Saccharomyces cerevisiae S288C: one gene and its partner. The protein of the gene in region 2 purifies or fractionates together with the protein of the main gene of each other region. This does not show direct contact. Each region holds a gene or a part of one and is shown on either strand. Other genes may lie near its edges.

Region 1 (4,780 bases), on a different chromosome or scaffold from region 2:
AACGATCCTATGGCTTTTCAGCCATTTCGAGCCGTTCAGTTGGAACCCGCTGCCATGTAGTGACAAGCAGCGCGCCGAGTACGTGTCGAAGCTCCGCGAGTTCTACTCTAGCAACAAGTTCGTTGCCGGAGAAGCCGTTGCGGACAACCGCTTCAAATTGAAGAAGGCTCTGTTGCTGCAAATACTGGTAAACTACTTAGGCGGTCGAATGCTCGAACACGATCTGGGCGAGATCTATGCGATTTCAGCAAAGTGTTTCGATATGTGCCGCCAGCAGGGCGGCATGCGCAAGGTCCAATACGTGATCGGAATATGGCATTTAATGAATTGTACGGTGGCGATGCGGGGAAAAGACGTCGCTCTCACGAACGCGAAGCTGGAGGCGCTGGTTAAGCAAATCACCAGTGTCAAACAATAAACCAAAAAAAAAAAAAGAAACACTTGATTTCCTTTATCTATTTTTATACTTAATTATTTTTTTTAGATGCACTATACAAATTCGCGTTAATTTTTGCCTTTTTACAACGCCTCCGTAGGGGTCTTTTTGCCGCCTGGCACAAGGATGGCAATATTGTTGCCGCTTAAAAGCATTCTGCCATGGTGCTGCATAACTTTCTCATTTCTGCTCTCGTCCTCAGGATCGATAAGCCACTCGACAGCGTCTTCCAGTATAACGTTGACGAAGTCGTCGAAACCAACTAACGTGCCCTCGAACTCGCGGTTCGACTGCAGCACAATCAACACTTTCTGGTTAATTGTTTTATCTATGACTTCCAAAGGCAAAATCTCCGGTAGACTCATTTTGCGCGCTTCTGTGTATGCTTGTGAGTGCACGTGTATACGCTATGCTTGTTGTGAGACCATCTATCCGCCAAGGAAGCCTTTTTCGCTTTCTCTGTATTTTTTCTACTTCAATAAGAAAGCAAGTATTCTGTTTTGCTACCCGGATGCAAAGACAAAACCCGAGCATCCGGGTAATAAAAGAGCAGGGTCCGGCTGAAGGTGCCAAAAAAGACCAAAAAGGGCTATATTATCTCTCTCTTACGATTGCCTCTGGTTAAAAAATGAAATAGATAATAAAAGGGCAGCAAAGAAAAAAAAGAAGAATACAATATACGTATACGTTCTCAACAATTTTTCGTCCTGTTTTTTTCTTGACCACGGTCACTACTAACTCCTGAGACATCAGACCAACGTGTAGAAAAAAAGAAATCGGGTCCGGCACTGACACACGCTCTGCGCCAATCAACCAGGGCGCATCGAGCATTCTTTCCAGGCCAGGGTGCAGAAATACTATTATTAAGTGCGCGAATACTGCTGGTGCATTAAACGAGCGAGTACAGTGAGCCCGCCGCTGACTGCCGACTCACGCCAGGCCGCTATTTCCTTCCCCCGCCCGCGTAAGCCGTGCCGAGCACCGTCGCAGCAGTAAGAAGGTGCGCATTTCATTCTCTGCACAGCGTAGATGAATGCACCCGATTTCTAAGTTGGTGTTGCAAGGCCCGGTGGAAGCGATGGGCTGTAGTTCGACCTTGAGCTTTTAGTTATATAAAATGCTCAATGTGAGCAAAAAAATACATAACACGACGGATTGTACGTTGTCGAAATCTTCTCTCAGCAGGTCATCACACATATACTTCCCGCCATGCCTAACAAAGTGTTTAACGTGGCCGTTTTCTTCGTTGTGTTCAGAGAGTGCTTGGAAGCAGTGATTGTTATTTCCGTGCTGCTATCGTTTTTGAAACAGGCAATCGGGGAACATGACCGGGCGCTGTACCGTAAATTAAGGATTCAGGTTTGGGTCGGTGTGTTACTCGGGTTCATCATTTGTCTGGCCATCGGTGCAGGTTTCATCGGTGCGTACTATTCGCTGCAGAAGGATATTTTCGGAAGCGCGGAAGACTTGTGGGAAGGTATCTTTTGTATGATTGCGACGATAATGATCTCGATGATGGGTATTCCTATGTTGAGAATGAATAAGATGCAGAGTAAGTGGAGAGTGAAGATTGCGCGGTCGTTGGTGGAGATTCCTCACCGTAAGAGAGACTATTTCAAGATTGGGTTCTTGAGTAGAAGATATGCTATGTTCCTTTTGCCGTTTATTACTGTCTTGAGAGAAGGTTTGGAAGCTGTTGTGTTCGTTGCCGGTGCAGGTATTACCACACAGGGCTCGCACGCCTCTGCTTACCCATTGCCCGTTGTGGTTGGTTTGATATGTGGTGGTCTTGTTGGGTATTTGTTGTACTATGGTGCTTCGAAATCCTCGCTGCAGATTTTCTTGATTTTGTCTACTTCGATCTTGTACCTGATCTCCGCCGGTCTTTTCTCTCGTGGTGCGTGGTACTTTGAAAATTACAGATTCAACCTTGCCAGTGGTGGTGATGCTTCCGAAGGCGGTGATGGTAATGGGTCTTATAACATCAGAAAGGCCGTTTACCATGTCAATTGTTGCAACCCAGAACTGGACAATGGGTGGGATATCTTCAATGCTTTGCTTGGATGGCAGAACACCGGCTACTTGTCATCCATGCTTTGTTACAACATCTATTGGTTGGTTCTTATCATTGTGTTGAGTTTAATGATATTCGAAGAAAGGCGTGGTCACTTGCCTTTCACCAAAAACTTACAATTGAAACACTTGAACCCAGGATACTGGATCAAGAACAAGAAAAAGCAGGAGTTGACGGAAGAGCAAAAGAGACAACTGTTTGCCAAGATGGAGAACATCAACTTCAATGAAGATGGTGAGATCAATGTGCAAGAGAACTACGAACTTCCCGAGCAAACTACCAGTCATTCCTCGTCTCAAAACGTCGCCACAGACAAGGAAGTCCTCCACGTTAAAGCCGACTCTCTTTGAATGAAGTCTAGCACAGGGTGGGAGTTTTCCACCTATTTTCTGTTGATAAAAATACTACATTTATATACATATATACAATAATTTCTAATATCGTTTTTATAAAGTTGGCCTTGTCTGTACGGCGTCGCAAAACAAGAACCCCTGGTCCAATTGATCTACCGGGCATTGATTTTTTTTCTTTTTTCCTTGCGCCTCACTTCAACACATCAAGTAAACACCAGCTATATTTAGTTGCTAGGTATTCTCCAACGTATGTGGAGTCCTTTCTTTATTATCTCTCTACACAAATAGGCACAAGCGTAATGGGCTCAGAACAAGCCTTAAGTGAGGTTGTCGAATCTGCTAAAGAGCGGTTCGGCAGGCTTAGGCATTTAGTTCAGAAGTTTCTTGATGATGACGACGTGCCACAAGAGTGTCTGCCTTTGCTCCAAGAATGCGCAGAAATATGGTCTAGTTATGTGGACGCATGCCAGGATATAACCATGCAGGCCCCTAAAGAAGATGCAAACCGGTTGTCAAAGGGGTTTCTCCGATTGAATGAAACAGCTTTTTTATATTACATGATCGTATATACGCTCTTGGAGGATACTCTACCAAGACTAAAGGAATTTTCGAGCAACAAGGACCAGAATGTTAGAAATTTGTACGGGGAGAGAATCCAGCTTTTGCATAATGACCCAAATATTGAGCGGATTCGAAATGTCATTGAAAATTACCCTAAATTTATACAGTTGCAAACTATAGAGCCTGGAAAATTAAGTTCAATGTTGCATTTTCATGGTGACGCTCTCTTGCTTATCGATGTACGGCCCAGGTCTGAATTCGTTAGGGCCCATATCAAATGCAAAAACATTATATGCATCGATCCTGCCTCATTTAAGGATTCTTTTACAGACCAACAAATTGAAAGTGTCTCTTTGATCACTTCGCCGCACTCAGATATCACTTTCTTTTCAAATCGAGACAAGTTCAAGTTCATTATTTTATATACTGACACTCAATTGCATAATAATTTCCAGCAAAGGCAAACTCGCATCCTTGCGAAGATTCTTTCCCAAAATTCAGTAATTAAACCGCTGAGTGGGACGAAAATACTCATTTTGGAAAATGGGTTCTCAAACTGGGTTAAATTAGGTGGGGCGTATCAATCATCTGTCAGTGAAACAGCGCATCTTACATCCTCGTCTTCAACGCCAGCTTTTGGTAGTCCGCAAGTCCCAACAGGCTTGTTCAATCAGAAATCTCTATCTCCAAATAAAGATAAGAGTATGCCGATGGTATCCATGAATACGCAGCCTTTGCTAACAACGGTGCAAAGGCCTCAATTACCCTTATACTATTCAGATTTGCCCATTATACCGCAACCAAGCCCCAACAGAAATTCTCCCACCGTTCAAAAATTTAGTCCACATCCACCAACCACTCTCTCAAAACTCAATACACCCTCGACCATTCAAAATAAAGCAAACACTGTGGAAAGAATATCGCCAGATATCCGCGCTGCACAAGCCCATGCCTATTTGCCCCCTGCATCGAATGTATTCTCGCCACGTATTCCGCCTTTACCACAACAGAACTTGTCTTCGTCGAGGCAGACCATCCTAAACAACTCACAAGTGCTTGATCTAGATCTTATAGTAGGATTGGAAAATATAGGTAACTGTTGTTATATGAACTGTATACTTCAATGTTTGGTGGGAACACACGATTTGGTTCGAATGTTTTTGGATAACACATATCTGAATTTTATTAATTTTGATAGTTCAAGAGGTTCTAAGGGGTTGCTAGCTAAAAATTTCGCCATCTTGGTCAATAATATGCACAGACACGGTGCATTCACACCTCCTAACGTAAGAACGATACCAGTTCAGACTATTCAGTTTAAAAAAATTTGCGGCCATATCAACCCCATGTATAGTG
Region 2 (18,778 bases):
GCGTTACTCACATATCATTCAATCCTCAACATCCTCATGATTTTGCAGTAACTTCCTCAACCAGAGTTCAAATATTTTCTTCAAGAACTAGGCAAGTGATCAAGACCTTTTCAAGATTTAAAGATGTTGTCTATTCTGCATCCTTTAGGAGTGATGGTAAATTGCTTTGTGCCGGTGATGCTACCGGTTTAGTGTCTGTATACGACAGTTATAATCCCAGGACTATCCTTTTATCTATAAACGCTTCCACACATCCCACACATGTTACGAAATTCCATACGCAAGATAACAAAATTCTGGCTACGGCGAGTGACGATAGAGTGACAAGACTTTGGGATATATCCAACGCATATGAGCCACAATTAGAGCTCACCGGAGCTACTGACTATGTTCGTACCTTATCATTTATCCCAGCAGCCCCACATTTGGTTGCAACAGGCTCATACGACGGTTTGATCAGATTATATGACACAAGATCTAGCGGATCCACGCCAATTTATTCTCTGAATCATGACCAACCTGTTGAAAATGTTATTGCAGTATCTCCAACCCAAATTGTTTCTTGCGGTGGCAATAATTTCAAAGTGTGGGACTTGACCAGTAACAAGAAATTATACGAACGTGGCAATTTCAATAAGGCTGTGACATGCTTGGACTATGTTGAAAATTTTGATTCTCCAATGCAATCGGCGTTGATCGCTTCTTCCTTAGATGGTCATGTCAAAGTCTTTGATCCTTTAGACAATTTCCAAGTCAAATTTGGCTGGAAATTTTCGGGTCCCGTACTAAGTTGTGCTGTCTCCCCTAGTACCGCACAAGGGAATAGGCATTTAGTAGCAGGTTTATCATCAGGACTACTAGCCATTAGAACTAAAAAGAAAGAGAAACGTTCTTCCGATAAAGAAAACGCACCCGCCAGTTTTAATAAGAATGCGAAAAGTAATAACTTCCAGAGAATGATGCGAGGCTCGGAATACCAAGGTGATCAAGAGCATATAATCCACAATGATAAGGTAAGATCTCAACGTCGTATGCGTGCATTCGAAAGGAACATAAATCAGTTTAAATGGAGCGAAGCACTCGACAATGCCTTTGTACCAGGTATGGCCAAAGAGTTGACACTTACTGTTCTTCAAGAACTACGCAAACGTGGCAAAGTTCGTGTAGCGCTATATGGTAGAGATGAATCTACATTAGAGCCGCTACTGAATTGGTGCTTAAAAGGTATTGAAGATGTGAGATCAGCATCTATTGTAGCGGATTGGGTCGCCGTGGTTTTAGAATTATATGGGAATACGTTAGAAAGCTCTCCAGTTCTTCAAGAATTGATGATAGATTTGAAAACTAAAGTTAGACATGAAATTCATAAGTCTAAAGAAGCTCAAAGAATTGAAGGTATGCTTCAACTTTTAACGAGTTAAGGAAATATTAGCATATAGATTTTAATTTGTATCTATTTTATAGATATTCAGGCATACATATATATCTCTTTCTCATTGTAATCGAAAAAAATAATATCTTCTCTTTTTATTGAAAAAAGGAACCTGTATAAATTTCATTTTAGAGTGCTTTGCATTTTGATACGTTTTCGCGTTTAACTACCTTCGAGGGCTTGAAAACAAAACATTGTGAGATGAGATGCTATCAACAGAAAGCTGACTGTGAGTCCCCAGAAGTCCATGTCGCTTGATGCCTTCTTTCAATCCTGTTAGATTCTTAGAGTTACCAATTGACATTAGAAAAGAAGTTTACTTCCATTTAGATGGTAATTTTTGCGGAGCACATCCCTACCCAATAGATATATTATACAAATCTAATGATGTGGAGCTTCCAGGAAAACCAAGTTATAAAAGGTCTAAGAGATCTAAGAAATTATTGAGATACATGTATCCTGTTTTTGCCACGTATTTGAACATTTTCGAATACTCTCCGCAACTCATTGAAAAATGGCTTGAGTATGCATTTTGGTTGCGCTATGATTGCCTGGTTTTGGACTGTTTCAAAGTAAACCATCTTTATGACGGAACGCTTATAGATGCATTAGAATGGACGTACCTTGATAATGAACTTCGACTGGCCTACTTCAATAAGGCCAGTATGTTAGAAGTTTGGTATACTTTTAAAGAGTACAAGAAGTGGGTGATAGACAGTGTTGCTTTTGACGAGCTTGACTTACTTAATGTAAGTAATATTCAATTCAACATTGATAATCTAACTCCACAACTAGTAGACAAATGCTTATCAATTTTAGAACAGAAAGATTTATTCGCAACAATCGGGGAGGTACAATTTGGACAAGATGAAGAAGTAGGAGAAGAGAAAGATGTTGATGTTAGTGGAGCTAATTCTGACGAAAACTCCTCACCTAGCTCCACAATTAAAAACAAGAAAAGGTCAGCATCCAAAAGATCACATTCAGATAATGGCAATGTGGGAGCAACGCACAACCAACTAACAAGTATTTCTGTTATAAGAACAATAAGAAGTATGGAATCCATGAAGAGCCTGCGGAAGATCACTGTGAGAGGAGAGAAATTATATGAGTTGCTAATAAATTTTCATGGGTTCAGAGACAATCCTGGTAAAACGATTAGTTACATAGTGAAACGTAGGATAAATGAAATACGCCTATCACGCATGAATCAAATTTCCAGAACCGGACTAGCTGACTTTACAAGATGGGACAACTTGCAAAAGCTTGTATTAAGTAGAGTAGCTTACATCGACCTGAATAGCATTGTCTTTCCCAAAAATTTTAAATCTCTGACAATGAAACGTGTAAGTAAAATCAAGTGGTGGAACATCGAGGAAAATATACTAAAGGAACTAAAAGTCGATAAGAGAACTTTTAAATCGTTGTACATAAAGGAAGATGATAGTAAATTCACAAAATTTTTTAATTTACGACACACAAGAATAAAAGAGCTTGACAAAAGTGAAATTAATCAAATAACATACCTTCGATGTCAAGCAATAGTTTGGCTATCTTTTCGGACTTTGAACCATATCAAGCTACAAAATGTATCTGAAGTTTTTAACAATATCATCGTACCTAGAGCATTGTTCGATAGTAAACGAGTAGAGATTTATCGATGTGAAAAAATCTCTCAGGTTTTGGTAATATAAAAATGTGGAAAACCGGCGGTATTTTAATTAGAAACAAACTGTCTGATAAACCAATCATGAAATCTTGTATCACTGTCAGCAAGCTCTGGATGAAAAGAAGTCACAAGGATATTATGATTTTGCGTTGCAGCTACAACCACATCCTTTCCATTCACTGGCAATTCATATAAACTTTTAACCGCGATAGGATCAAGAATTCTCTCGATCACGGGTGCGCGAATAAATGTAGCAGGAAAATTATCACAGCCAGGTATGAAATTGGAAAAATCACACTTTTGTGTAAAAGATTGAGCTTGTCTTCCAAATGCGTTTCTTCTCACGTCGACCTTCAACACACCTAAAGTCTTTACTAGGGCACTTTCGTTTTCTAATTGCGCGCTTAAAAAGATGAGACCAGCACAAGTACCCCAAACTACCTTTTCCGGATTATGAACAAATTCGTATAAACAAGGATATAAGCCTGTTCTTTGAGCGATGAGGGACATCGACGTAGATTCTCCTCCGGGAATAATTAAGGCGTCGCACTGGGCTAGATCCTCAGGAGTTTTTACAGTTTTGATTTCTATCTTTATTCCGTAGTCGTTTTCAGCCAAACACCTTTTTAAATGGTTGGTATGCTCCAAAAAGGCACCTTGCAACGCCAAAACCCCAATTACTTTCATCGACTTTCCGGACATTGTACTGTGGGTTTTGTGCATACTTTAAGATATGGTTTTTCTTTCTATTTAACGAAATGAAATAATAAGAAAAAAAAACCTGGTGGCATCAACGTGATTTTTGGAAGAAAGAATAAAACATTCAAAGAGTTCGTGACCAGTTATTGCTGATAAATGCCGTTTACTGACTCAGTTGGAATTTATGGCACTAGTTGGAATAGCTCATCATGACATAATGACTCAGCCGACAAGGGTAAGGGTTGAAAGCCGGGCTTTTTCACTACTTTTCAGGTAGCGCCGCCATTTCTTCATGACTCTGACACACTCTGCCGCACCGTTAGTTACGTCTGTAATTCTGGCTGCGAAGTACCATTTTCGATATAAATAGGAGGACGCTGAGAGCTATGGACGAAGTCTATGGTATTGTTGGAGAAACCTTTAGGAACGACTAGCAAATATACACAGTACTAATATTCAGTTAATTATCACGATGACTGGAGAAGACTTTAAGATCAAGAGTGGTCTCGCCCAAATGTTAAAAGGTGGCGTTATTATGGATGTTGTTACTCCAGAGCAGGCAAAAATAGCTGAAAAATCTGGTGCATGTGCGGTAATGGCATTAGAATCCATCCCAGCAGATATGCGTAAGTCAGGAAAGGTTTGCCGCATGTCAGATCCGAAGATGATTAAGGACATCATGAACTCCGTTTCCATTCCCGTCATGGCTAAGGTAAGGATTGGCCATTTTGTTGAAGCTCAAATTATTGAGGCATTGGAAGTTGACTATATTGACGAAAGTGAAGTCTTGACTCCTGCTGATTGGACTCACCACATTGAAAAGGACAAATTCAAAGTTCCATTTGTTTGTGGCGCTAAAGACTTAGGTGAAGCTTTGAGAAGAATTAATGAAGGCGCCGCTATGATTCGTACCAAGGGTGAAGCTGGAACGGGCGATGTCTCTGAAGCCGTCAAGCATATAAGGAGAATTACAGAGGAGATAAAGGCGTGCCAACAATTGAAGAGCGAAGATGACATTGCAAAAGTTGCTGAGGAAATGAGGGTACCAGTTTCTTTGCTGAAAGATGTTTTAGAAAAAGGTAAGTTGCCAGTAGTAAATTTTGCTGCAGGTGGTGTAGCAACGCCAGCCGATGCCGCATTGTTAATGCAGTTGGGTTGTGATGGTGTGTTTGTTGGCTCAGGAATTTTTAAATCATCTAATCCTGTAAGGTTGGCCACTGCAGTAGTAGAGGCTACCACTCACTTTGACAATCCCAGCAAATTGTTGGAAGTATCTAGTGACTTAGGAGAGTTAATGGGTGGTGTATCAATCGAATCTATTAGTCATGCTTCCAATGGAGTAAGACTTTCCGAAATTGGGTGGTGATTTCTTTGAACAGGTATTTTGAGCATTATAACACTTTTTCCCCCCTCAACTTTGTATTACTCGGTACACATTGTAAAATGATCTAATTATTAGATAAGCTTATGTATGCTGGATATTATTTACTAGAATACTTGATTGGGGTTCCCTTTTAGTTTGTTAGACAATCCCTCATACGAAAGATCTCCTAACTTTTCCAATTGATCATTTACATAGTTTTTATAAGAAAACTCGTCATTATTCAACAGTACCTCAGGGTCAAATATGATACCCTTTCCATGCAACCTCCATTTGTTAGTCCACTCGATAGCCGTTGATTTTTCATTTTGGCTTTTATTCACTTGAAGCCTTCTTAAAACATCATATATATCATTTGTGGGAGAATTGGTGCTTCCAGGGTAAAGCTCTGTTCTTCCATCGTTCAAATTTTGCAAGTTCATTAGGTATAAAAGGTAATCCGCTTGAAATATTGGATCTACAAGGTTATTTTTAACACTACCACACAACGCCAGTCCTAGCATTCTATTATGATCTGAAACGCGACCGGGAACACCGATTCCTGGAGTATCTATCAAGTATATTTCATTTCTTGATTCCGTATTCCGTGAAGTTACTCTAATAACCTCGCTTGTGGCTCTAGTAACACCAGCTTCTGCACCAGTTTTGGCTACTTTCTTAAATTTTCTTCCCATATTCACTTGATTGTGAAAAATTGTCCTCAAGCTATTTATTAAAGTAGATTTTCCAACATTTGGCATGCCAGTAATCAATGCTCGGTATCCCATAGGTAGATATCCGCCATTTGTTTCTAGTTCGTAATTTTGCCATTCTAGTATTTTTAGTAGATTCCTGACGTCAGTTTTGTTTCGGCAATCCAGTAAAATAAACTTTTCTCCCAGCTCTTCATGCCAATTCTTTAACTTTCCTATATATGGCTTATTGCCGGGCATAAGATCCTTTCTAGTGTATACCACTAATTTCATCACATCGTGTTCCTTTCTTGCTATTCGATCGAAAACCACATTCCTTGTAGATAACGGGGCACGTATATCACGTAGTTCTATTATCATATTCATTTGAGGAAGCAACTTTTCAAATGTTTTAAGAGCTTTGACTTGGTGTCCCTTGAAATCAGTGAGAGGCATACTGTACTTTGGAAATTCATATCTTGGTGTGAAGGATGAAACGTTGGAAATTATTTTCCTAGTTCCTCTCACATTTATGTGCATTTCTGTATTTGATTTGGCTTTTTTGCATTCAGGTCTGAGTAATGAGCATTATCATTCGTTCTTTCTTCTCCTAATAACTAAACCAAATTGTTTCGAAAAGACAAAAATTGTGTACTTTTGACATGATGGTCCGTGTTCTTTGATCTGCGGCAAAATGAACCTACCATGTGGCAGAATTAAATATTTGATTCAAATATAAATAAGGCGAACGACGAGAGATTAAGATATTATATACAGGTAATACTATTGATTGTTTGTTCCACGGACTAGGAATTCTTCCAATGTGGAATTCTCCATTCCAGCGGTTTTTAATAACGCTTTAATGGAGTTGCATAACTCCGGAGTTACGTTAACATTTAAACGTCTGATCCATAGCAAATGACCATTATTTACGATTTTCGATATAACGTGACTATCACCGCTTTGATTGATAACATTTATAAATTCATTCCAGGGCCTTTTGTCCTGACCTTCCCCTTCCGTTGGTGTGATAGCTTCCCAGACTTGAAGTAGCTTATTCCAGTCTTTGATTTTGGCCAAGTTTTGCAATATTGAGACAATCATGCCTGAAGTCAACTTATCTCCAAATGTTTGGAAAATGTGGTCTATTGTCTCGTAGAGTGATCTCAATTTTACCCGTTCATCCGCGACCATGGAATTTAAAAGAAGGGATATTACCACTTCATCGTAAACAACTGAGCCATCGTCCTCTGTTTGTAGACCTTTAAATAGGTTCAAAGCTCTGATAATCACCCTATTTTGCTTTACTAGGTTAAAGTATGAATGACTAGAATGCTGCGTTTTCAAAACCATTTCTAAAAGAGCGATTAGATCTTCCCTTATTAACTCTTGCCCCAACGATTTTTTTAAAAGTAGATAATCCTTGAGGAAAACACGATCTGAATAAAATTGTGGGTCTGCTTTGTTTAGAAGTATCGCATATTCTAGTCGTAGTGGCCAATATGCAGCCGATTGATTTATGGTTAAAAAAGTTGAATGTTCGTCAAATAAGGACTTCCATTGAACAACATCTACTTTCCTCTCTTGTCCTACCAAATCCTTTAAAGTATTTTTAACATGCTCCAAAGTACGTATATTGTGAGTTTCAGTACCACTACTACTCTGAATTATCTTATTGGCTCCTTTGAAGTCTTCCTTTTGTAGAAAGTATCTTAAATTACTTAGCCCGTTTGGGTTGATAGTTGAATACCTTCTCCTTTGCTGGGCCAGTCTTCTTAGGCCTAAAAGAATATTATTGTTGCTTGAAATTTCATTTACCCCTGAAATAGTAGGGACATTACCTGAATCTATATTTTGGAACTTAGATTTCTCATTTTCAGGTGCATACAGCTCTTCTAAATTCAATTCATTACGCCTTCTCTGTGTCAAAATATTTACAAAAATACCATCGACACGACAATCAATCATATACCAAGCCTCACTATTTAAGTCTTTTGCAGAGCATTCAGAGCTTCTACCTAATAGTTTACTAAGGTTGGATTTTCTTGCTAATCTTCTTTTTCTTCTACTTTCTTGTCGCTCATTAAAGTTTCCTTCAACGTATGCACTACTACAGAATTCGTGCTTCAAAAACTTGTTCAACTCTAAGAAACTTTTATGACAATGTTTGGTAGATCTTGCTGTACATATGACCATGAAGTCACCCAACTTATTAACGGCTGAAACAGAGTTTGGGCTTTTCTTCCGTAAATCGAAAACCAGGAAGTCATCCAGACCAAGTTTACCAGTTAGGAGGTCTGCTATTTTTCTTAATGAGTTTGGAGAGGTTTTAGGTATCTCCAATTCTTTGTTCATCGTGTGGTGGTTATTTTTCTTACCTTCCATTAGTTCCTTTTCATTGTCAACAATCCTGAGGTACCAAGGTGTTTCCAGAGGGGTAAAAGTAGACTTTTTGGATACACGACTTTGTTCATGACTGTCATTTTTGCCCTTTGTCGAGTAATAAACTGCTGTGATGTGACTATGAAGAAAATAAGGGCCCTTTTTGAATAATATGGTAAAAGGAATATTGGCCACGCCTATCCTCTTGCCATGGAAAGGTAGTAGACAGAATTTATTCATGTCAACAAACCTCAATTTTTGAATAAGCAGGCTATTACACTTAATCTTCACTTGGTGTCGATCTTTCTTAGTAGCTTAACTTGCTTTTTTTTTTTTTGGCTGAATGGTCCTCATTGTTTCTCTTTATCGGGATGAAAAGCATAATTATCAGAAGATTGCAAGTATATTAGAAGAGAGGTTAGAAAAAGATGTCAAGAAATACTAGTAAAAACAAATACCATTACTGTGTACTAGAGTACTATTTAAGAAAGACGGATTATTTCTAAAGTTACGATAGTTCGGATGATTGTGACCCCATTTCTAATAAAACCAATATTATCAGGTATATAGAAATGCTGCAGGATCTTTTCAAGCATATATGATACCACCAAAAAAGTGTAAAATCCCATATAATATAACGTTCTTCTATTTGTTTCGTACAGTTCGCTGATTGGTATTATTACATCAGGAATATTGTATGTTCGCTTCGTTAAAGTTTGATCGCTGTTTCCTATATGCGGCGTCTAATATATAGATGATGAGAATTTGACAAATAATGAGAATTGTTAGGATCCAATTATACTTAACAGCTATAATAATAGTACACAAAATATACTAAAAGTTCTCCTCGAGGATATAGGAACCCTCAAATGGAATCCATATTTCTACATAATAGTATTACGATTATTCTTCACTCTGTTTTACATGTTTCATTATCCTATTACATTATCAATCCTTGCATTTCAGCATCCTCTAACTTCGATGACAGCTTCTCATACCTTATGCCATCATCTAACACCGTATATCATAATATACTGGTAGTGTGACTACTAGTTGATAGACGATAGTTGATTTTTGATTTTTATTCCAACAGTCCTGATGATAAGTTACTGTCAAAGACATAATTATTATCAAAATATATGGTATTAGATGGACTGGTAAAAGTACAAAACTTCAGAAATTTGTCCGTGATAGTTTAATGGTCAGAATGGGCGCTTGTCGCGTGCCAGATCGGGGTTCAATTCCCCGTCGCGGAGATTTTTTTATCAGACCAGGTGGGTGTTGTTTGATCATCACAAAGTAGAATTCAGTGTCATTTTTAAAAACGTTACTTAATTTTACGATAATATGCTGCCAGAACAAGTTTAACAATACGCTTTTGGCAATTTGTTCTTGCTGCACTTGGAATTAAATAAGAGTCTTAGTAAACAGAATGTTGCTTTAGTTGTTCGTCAACAAAAACAAAGATAAAGGATGGAGGTAATCAAATAGCCCACATTAAGAAAAGTATACAACTGGGAATTTACTTTATAAAAATTACCGTTGCTACATTTTTTTATATTATTTATTGAATAGCTTGATATTTCAATTCTTCTTTGCAAAGTAATTGATAAGCATTCCATTTTTTACCAGGAGCCAAGGAAATAAAATCATGAACATGACCAGGTTCAATACATATCATTTGTTGGTAACCAGTTTTTGGTTCGAAATCGGCCATCCCTTGAGACTTCTCAATCCATGGATTCCAAACAACAGTGTCGGGCAAGTTGTATCTTTTTAGAGTGTGAATTTGAACGCCCTTGTCAACTATTTGAATGGCCCGTTCGGCGCTGACATTCTGATAAATTACATCGGTTTCTTGATTGAAGGTAACGACTGGGTGCTTGTCGACGTAGGATTCCTTCAACAGTTGGTCATAAAGTTTCATGCCAGCTAAATTAGAGACCATTGTTCCTTCAATATCTTCGATACGGAAGTATGTATGGAACAACCAGTTGAACTTTAATTCCTTGGAACTAGATGTGTTTTCTACTTCTATGGCAGTTTTCAAATAATCGGAGCCTAATTCAACAGTCAAAATCAAAAGATAATCCATTGGCCACAATTTGGTCAATTCTGGGTTAGCAATTTCTGGTTTCAAGCCAAATTGTACGGTCGGTGGGTTTTCCTTAGTTTGACCCAAAAACTCCCAAGTAGAATTTCTTGCAAGACCATGTTGAGGTAATTTACTCAAATGTTCATCGGTGCTATTTTTCCCGAATACAGGAAAGACCAAAGGTATACCACCTCTCACAGGTTTGCTACCATCCAATTTAGCAGCAGTAGACAACCACAACTGTTCTTCAGATTTCAATTTCCAAGAATAAACTGTAGCACCGTACTTTAGAATATGAACGCTGGTGGTCTCATCAGCTGGATGAGTCAAAACAACTTCTTTATCAGTTTCTTTGATAGGCATGGCTTTGTGTTTTAATCTTTCTTGGTTCAAGTTTTACCAAAGGCTTATAATGAACCTCAGAATCACCTCTTTATTCATTTCTAGGGACCTACTAAGTTTTCTTTCGGCGTGAAAAATAAAAGGCGCATTGGTGACCCCATTTGCGATACCTTTTTATGGAAAGACAGCTTGAAGAAAGACCTTGTTATCATTGACTGCGTCTAGCGAACGAGGACATCTACACACTATTTCTTCTGCTGCAATGATTGATGCCGTTTAGATGAATGGTCGGGACGTAACTTATGTTTTAAGAAGAAGGCACTTTTCCTGGTGCAATAGATGAATCTCGGTTTCAAGTTAACTATATAAATATGGGGTTGGCATTATATGTCATGCTTTATTATAATTAGGCATATAAAACTACATGGTTATGAAAGGCGCTGGCAGTAAAAGGGTTGTTTGTCAATGGCAAGAATTAATCATTCTCGCATTGAAATATATGTAGATCGAGGTGAACTGTTAGATGGTCCATCAGACATTTATTATTTTGACTTATGTATTTCCCTCTCAATTTTGTTATCAGTAATCGAGTCATGTGTACTTTAAAGTTCATATTCTCACGTTTTTCGCAAGATATTAGCCGCCAATAGCAACTCCGAATAATAAGAGCTATATAAAGGCCGTTGAAGCCCACGGAAAGAGAAAGAAAACTAATAGTTATTACAATATAGACCGTTGGTTTTTTCTTTCCCTCCTGGAGCAGCTGCGTATAGTTACTACCTAAGAAGTGGGCTAGAAGTTGGCTAGAAGTGGGCTACTTAATATATATCTTTGGATACATAGAAAGGAACCAGGAAAAAGGAAAATTATTTAGATGGCTTCCATAAGTTTATGATGGTTCAAACGGCAAAAAGCCTTTTGACTATTTTTCTTGGTTGAACTATCTTCTTATTAGGCCTACTACAACAATGCATCGAGCTAGGATAACAACTAGAATACTTTGGTTATGTATTGTATGGGTGTTCAGTGGCAAAATTTGAGAGTTGGGTTATTGATGGTCGGCCTATACAAACGAAAGACCTAGAGCAGCTCACAAGGAAGAAAGTGCTGGACAAACTTCCCTACCTGAAGAGAAAAATATCCGTTTTTTATATAGTTTCTGTAAGTGTGCACAGTGACTTCCTCATTAGAGCGATATAGATAATTTGAGACTTTATTTATTTTTTATTTTTGTTGGTTCTCATATTCAACCTTCCATTTATCTAAGTTGAACCATTAAACATTCCCTTTTTTACTTTGCTAATTTCATCATACCCATTGATCAACTATAAGTGAAACTTGGGAATCTTCCATTATACAAAGGTGAGGTCCCTATTTGTTGCATTTTTCAATTCATTTCCCTGGGAGTTTTTGTTTGTTTTTGCTATATTAACATATCATAACAGCGTATAGAACGTAATTTGAAATATTCAAAACAAAGAAAAGGTAAAGAAATGAGAGACTCTAATCATCGATCATTAACGTCGAACAAGCCTATAGTAACAATAACATCTACTGTCTATGACCGAAGGGCATTGGATATCAACTCTAGTATTCCGTTAATAAACTCCCTAAACTACTTAACATATCTAACCTCTAATTCATCAAAAGTTAGGGAAACGGTAGCTAACGACGGTGCTCTCGAAAGATTAGTCTCAATATTGAGGAGTTGTCATTTAAGTTTGTTTGAGTTGCTGGATTTGGATTTAGAAAATTTTAATGAGCACGAAAACATAAAGGATCTATGGAAGGAGAAAAGACTAGCACTATGCGCTTGGAAATGGACTTTAACATTTCAGTGCTTAGTATTGACAGGTACTAGAGGGACAGAACAAATTCGTAAAAAAGTGGTAATGTCTGGGGTCTTATCTGTGCTGGTCACAGTATTGGATAACTATTTACTATATCATAAAAATTACGACTTCATCAAAGATCAAACAATGACCTTTGACTTCAAAGGGATAACCACGGAGACAATGTATAAATTCATGAGAAAAGATGAGAATGAAACATATCAGCAGTATATAGAGTTCATTACAGGTCAGGATAAATTGAAGTTGTCAACTGACAAAAATTTTCTAAACGAACGATTAGTGGCACCGTCTATGACAATTCCAACTGATTTTAGTGATATATGGGGCCGGTTTGCAGACCTAGCTAGCAATTTTGAACCTGACCAGGAAAGACACGACGACGACATTGATATTGATAGTGAAGTAGAAAGTGAAAATTTTGATGCACATAAGAATTTCTTTTCGCAACCAGACATTAATAGACCTACAATTTCCACTCCACGTGAATTTTTTCTCGGAAGAATTGTCCCCAAACAAGACGACGTTATATGGTCGCTTCAGTTATTAGCTTTTGTTTCGAAGTATACATATATGAAATCAACCCTTCAAAATGTTGAGCTGGTTGAATCCCTATCGTTCAGAAGTATGGCTTACAAAATTAAACAGAGAATCTCAGAAGAGAATGACTTAGAAGAACAAGAAAGAGACGTAACTGTAAAATTGTCTTCATTATATCCTTATTTATCGAAAAATCCTGAAAACAATTCCAAAGTTAAGGCACTAGATACTAGCAAAATGGATCCATTTTTCAAAGAATTAGAAGAACTCTCAAACAGATGTCAACAAGAAGAACAAAATGAAATATGTAATAACCACTGTCCCGTTCTTAATTTGTTTGAGCGCTACCGTGTACCGAAACCTAGCGACGACAATGCCTATGGCAAAGACAAGGAAAGAATTAATTTAAGGAAGAAAATATCTGATAACTTTGAAAGGCGCTGGAGCTACGATAAAATGAAAAAGGAATTAACAAATATTGTTTACAAAAACAAGGTACTAACAAATGTTGTAAACATCTTCCCCTTAGTCGAAAAATATACAGTGAGCGCAGAAAATACACATGATGTTATATATTGGAGTTCTGTCATCATGAGAAATTCATGTCGAAAAAATGAGATCTTAGGTGTGCGTCAGTGTGCCAATTTTTCGTGCGGAAAATGGGAAGATTTTCCAAGACAATTTGCAAAATGTCGTCGATGCAAAAGAACGAAATATTGCTCACGAAAGTGTCAATTAAAAGCATGGGGATATCATAGGTATTGGTGTCACGAAGTTGGATCAAGTCATATGAGATCCACGAATACTACCACAGGTGTCAATACCCCAAATGAGCCTAGTTCTTTAAATGCCACCGCTACTACAGCAGCTGATGTTTCGAATTCTACCAGTACGTTCACTCCTAATATATCCACCACCGTACCTGATGAAATAAGCAATAGGGATGAAAATAGCATACCTGAGTAAAGTACAAGGGGATTTCGATGACCTAGGTTTAACAAGATCATGAAATATTCATTAACGGAGTTTTTTGTTTTCGCTTTTTTTATTTTTTGTTCCTAATTTTTTTTTTTTTTACATTTTATTAGCTATACACTTGGCGCAAGGATATTTTATATACCGGATATAATAGATAATTAAAAGACTACTAATTAAAAATGATGTAATATGGTAATAGGTATGGAAGAATCAGGGAGTTTTCAGAATGTTCTTTGCCCTCTCTTGGGCTTTCTAGTTTTGCACTTTTACTTATTCATCTCCTGTAACCGAAACTGAAATGGGGGGGTTTGGAAAGTTGTACAAAGACATAGCTGTTTTCTTTTTTTTAAATATTGAAGGAACGCTTTCATGTATTTTTTCAAACAATGAGTGATTCTTCTCATTATATTTTTGAATGGTGGAAAAGAAGGACCATTTGAGAATCATCAGGTACATAGCAAAGAAGCTAAAATTTGGCCACAACGTATCACTAAATTCAATGGTGGCATTTTCATGTACTTGCCATAGCATATAGTCTGAGAGCCTCCTATGCCCACTTGTTCTGATTAATAATTCACATTTATTGGAATGGAAACCCATGTACATTTTATTAGTAAATTTTCTTATATTAATCCTTGGTGATTTATTTTCCAAATGGTCTTCAACTGAATCACGAATAGTATGTAACATATCATTTCTTGAAGTGTAAGGAAAACATATAAATAAAGTGAAATCGTCTCCATCCTGTGTGATTTCTTCCACTTTTTTAATTTTTTTTCTCATTTCTGGAGATAGTAAAGATTGATCACCTACTATTCTTATTTTAGATCCGTATAAGGGATCCTTATAGTCCTTGGCTCTTTTTGCGAATTCATCAAGCTTTACCGTAAACAAATTCATTAGCGTATCTACTTCTTCTTTTGGTCTATTAAAATTTTCAATAGAAAATGCATAGGCGGAAACACATTTTACACCCAATCTTTTGCAGATATACAGTAGTGTTAGTAACGTTAACCCACCAGCTTCATGGCCTTTTTTTACTGGTAGCCTTCTTGACTTGGCATATCTCCGGTTACCATCCATGATAAAGGAGACATGTTCAGGCACTGGCCCTACCCTTAATGCTTTTATCAAAATATTCTGAAGATTTACATAAAACCATGAAAACAAGCTTAATGACATAACCCACGCAAATACTCTCTGAAATATACTTTTCACTGCGAAGCACATCTGTTCTTTGGTTTCTACCAAAAGCCTTTTTAGGGCTACAAACTGAATCTGAATAATACTGGGCATTTTCATTATGGTCAACAGAAACGTCCTATGTTTGAAAGGCAGCCTGTTCTTTATAAGTTGATAAATTGAGAAAAGTGCACCAAATCTTAATCTACTCTGTGTGTATTTTTAGGTCCCTTAAATAACAGAAAAAGTATAGCTTTAGCCGCCGAGGTCCACTCAGTTTGGAGTAGTTACCCTTAACAGGCACTCACTCCGTTTTGTTCTTTCGAAGAGATACGTTATAGTATATCGGCAACAAATGATAGGCTCATTGTTAGCGTTCATTAATTATTAGATTAAAATTTATTTAAGTGTATCGTGTTTCTTTACTTTATGTACGAAGATTAATATGCATTTAAAGGTATCATCCACGGAAAAAAAATACTCCATCAGCGTTAGCGGAAGTTATTAACTACTGTACCGCAGTCTACGCAATAATAGTTTCTATCTTGTTGGTCATTAGCACCAGAAAAAGCCTCAAACCTTGAACCGTTACAAACATTGCAACGGATAGGTAAATTCATTGCGCTCGTTGGAGTGGTAGGCCCATGTGCATTGGAGAAAATAGATGACATGCTTTCCCTTGGTGTTCTTGGCTGTGCATTACTGCCGAGTGTTTTTAGTGATGTACTGCTTTTGGGACATATATTAGAGTATCCACGTCCCGTTGCATAGCCTTTTCCAGTATTAGTATACGCCGCTGCCGGTTGGCCAGCCAAGTTTGATTTCGCTCTCGAGTTGAAGCTTCGACTCAAAGAATGCAAAGAATCAGAACTGTTAAACCTTCTCCGAACCTCTCTATTGTATTCTTCTAGTTTGAGTAACACGCGCTTTCTTATAACAGAGGGCATATCTGCTCTAAACACACGAATAGTCCCTACGTTATCAGTACTGATCAATATCGTTCCAATTGCGTCAACGACATCTGGGATAGCACTGGTGGCGGAAGCATTAGAAATTGAGCCTGGTTTAGAATTGTAGCCCAAAGACGACTCTACATCTGACATTATGCCATCGTCGTTACTCCGACTCAAAACATCGAAACTATCGGATGTCTGAAAAAACTCTAGAGATAGCTCGCAGATAACATCGTTAGACAAAGATAATGTTTTCGAAGTTTCTGGCGGTGCAATGCTAACACAAGTAACAGGGGCATTGTGTGCATGAAAAGAAATGTAATCCGTATTTTTGATATAATGATCGTTGCTATGATGAGGCAAGGGAAGTAAGTTAGTAAGTTTTAAATGATGATGTGGTTTTTCTTCGTTATTCTGGCTGGAAGACCTACTCATTGATTTACTAAATATGCTTCTCAAACTTCCGGACCGAGCCAATCCCTTTGGTTTCCTTTTAGGTTCGTCTTGATCATTCTCTCTATCCGAAGACTTTAACCTCCAGCCGTAAACCCAATGGTCATCACTACTATTTACAACGATTGGCTGACCATGCCAGATGGACAATTGTGCCTTGTGTTGGGAAGATCCGCTATGGAAGCCTTTCAATACCTCTAGAAGCTTCCTCTGTTCTAAGTCAAAAATTCTTATCCTCGAATCATTCGATGTAACTACTAAGCGGAAAGAATTGTCCAGTTGAGATCTAAAAGCTTGCAAACCCGTCACACGTGGACCATGACGAATTTTTGAGTCAGTTTCCGTGACCATGACGTGAGCGTTTTGTTCTTGTGTTTGTCTATCAGCTACGTGAAATGAAGAAACTGGAGTGAGACCTCTGGTCATCAGAATATGAACGTATCCATTAAATGTTCCTATTATAGTGTATTTTCCCTCCTCAGGGGATAATGTAACAGATGTTATTAAGTCTTGACAATCGTACTCAAAGCTAACTTCATCATCCAGTATAGACCATAACCTGCATTTGTGATCCAGACAGCCGCTAATGAAAAATCTATCGTCGGTGGGGTGAAATTCCACACAAGTGACAAAATCAGGATGTATGAATGTCTTAAGTGAATTTTTCCTATCGGGATGCCATAGTTTTACTGTCTTATCCATCGATGCTGACAAAATAAAATTATTTTTAGACCAATTTATATCCAGAACATCTTGCACGTGTTCTTTATACAGTCGCAAAGGCGTTGGGTGAAAGACAGGCGCATACAAATTCAATAATTTTTCCTTCTCTTCGTATTTCTCTGTAGCAGAATCCAAAAATTGTTTTTCTTTTGGATTGTTCAATGAACTGACCTGCTGTTTGATCCGCATCGACTTGGCTCGTGCCTCTTTATTTGATTCCGCACTCGAGTCCAATTCGGCTCTTTCAACTGGAGAGCCAATAACTTTCCATATTCTTATTTTACCATCTTTGCTACCAGTGGCCATAAATTTTCCATCGCGGCTAAACTTTGTACTCCATATAGCTTTAGAGGTTGGTTCAGATGATTTGGAAGTGGAGGTAACCGTTTCACCTTCGTAGGCCATTAGTTCTTGCGCGAGAAACAATCTTCTAAATTGTTTCAGGTTTTTCCGACGTTTCAACATTTTAATGTATTTTGGCTCTCTCAAATAGTTTTCAAATTGCTCTGTATCAATGGAATTGAAAGGGTAAAACTCATTGACCCTAAGATTCGAATTTAAAGTATTGCCTCTCTGTAAATGTTCCTTTAGTCTCATAAATGAATCAGTGGCGTTGCCGTTGTTACTATATTTTAATTTGTCATTTGTATTATTAGTTTTTGTCATTCTGAACTTCAATGGCTCGATATCTGCAGAATATTCAAGATTTAGTTTGCTTTTACTTTTACTTTCACCGGAACTGGACTCGCCGTCGAAGCTCTCTTGATGCGACCGACTCTCCTCTTCAGATCCAGTGGTATTCGAGGAATTGCTGAATTCAGAATGTACCTTGCTTATACTTGTTTTATCCTCCGCCATATTCGTCATATTTCTAATTCTCGTACTATATTATACGCCACTACCGTATACAATATGCCAAGAGCTCAGCAACTGCTTTCTATTCTTTTTCTTTGATTGTCTTTGTTCCTCTTTTCCCTCTTTCTTTTCCTCCTCTGTTTAACAAGTTGGAGAGAGTTGCAGTCTTGTTCCCTATACGGTCCAGCTGTGACTTGTACGAACGCGTATTGTATCCCAGGAAGAAATAATGATGTAACTCGCTTACGAAGCTTAAGAAAGGGCAAAAAAAATGTGTCCCCCCTAACTGCGAAAGTGAAAAAAAAAAAAATTAATGCGTTGAATTTACACAGTTCTATGTATAATTAACTGCTACGATAGAAACTGGACAGTAGTAAGAAAGATTGGACTAGGCATCACCCAGACTTTACTTTTTCGGCATACATATCTATTTATATATAGTTTAATACGTAAATACAAATATATATATACTGTAAATTTTAATCATTAAGCTTTTCTTTTTTTTTTGTTCACGCTTTCACCCTGTGAGGCGAATGAGGTTAGCTTTTTCCCTTTACGGGACTAGGTAAGGCT

The links.
Region 1: the proteins of ATP25 (region 2) and LSM5 purify together in Saccharomyces cerevisiae (affinity purification with mass spectrometry, with the first as the bait; one large-scale study listed by BioGRID). This does not show direct contact.

The regions. Positions count from the first base shown.
Region 1 is NC_001137.3:458,606-463,385, reverse strand, and holds LSM5 (RNA-binding protein LSM5), read right to left. Parts: upstream 802-4,780; coding exon 520-801; downstream 1-519. Other genes in the region: cohesin-loading factor complex subunit SCC4, read left to right, coding at 1-418; YER145C-A (uncharacterized protein), read left to right, coding at 563-1,000; high-affinity iron permease FTR1, read left to right, coding at 1,646-2,860; putative ubiquitin-specific protease UBP5, read left to right, coding at 3,163-4,780. UniProt on the Saccharomyces cerevisiae protein: Component of LSm protein complexes, which are involved in RNA processing and may function in a chaperone-like manner. Component of the cytoplasmic LSM1-LSM7 complex which is involved in mRNA degradation by activating the decapping step.
Region 2 is NC_001145.3:454,136-472,913, forward strand, and holds ATP25 (Atp25p), read right to left. Parts: upstream 8,475-18,778; coding exon 6,636-8,474; downstream 1-6,635. Other genes in the region: snoRNA-binding rRNA-processing protein UTP15, read left to right, coding at 1-1,421; CTF13 (Ctf13p), read left to right, coding at 1,690-3,126; SNO1 (putative pyridoxal 5'-phosphate synthase), read right to left, coding at 3,150-3,824; pyridoxine biosynthesis protein SNZ1, read left to right, coding at 4,273-5,166; putative GTPase MTG1, read right to left, coding at 5,289-6,392; YMR099C (glucose-6-phosphate 1-epimerase), read right to left, coding at 9,799-10,692; MYND-type zinc finger protein MUB1, read left to right, coding at 12,165-14,027; SRT1 (ditrans,polycis-polyprenyl diphosphate synthase), read right to left, coding at 14,310-15,341; LAF1 (Laf1p), read right to left, coding at 15,713-18,217; YMR103C (uncharacterized protein), read right to left, coding at 18,767-18,778. UniProt on the Saccharomyces cerevisiae protein: mRNA stabilization factor specific for the 0.95 kb OLI1 mRNA. Also involved in OLI1 ring formation.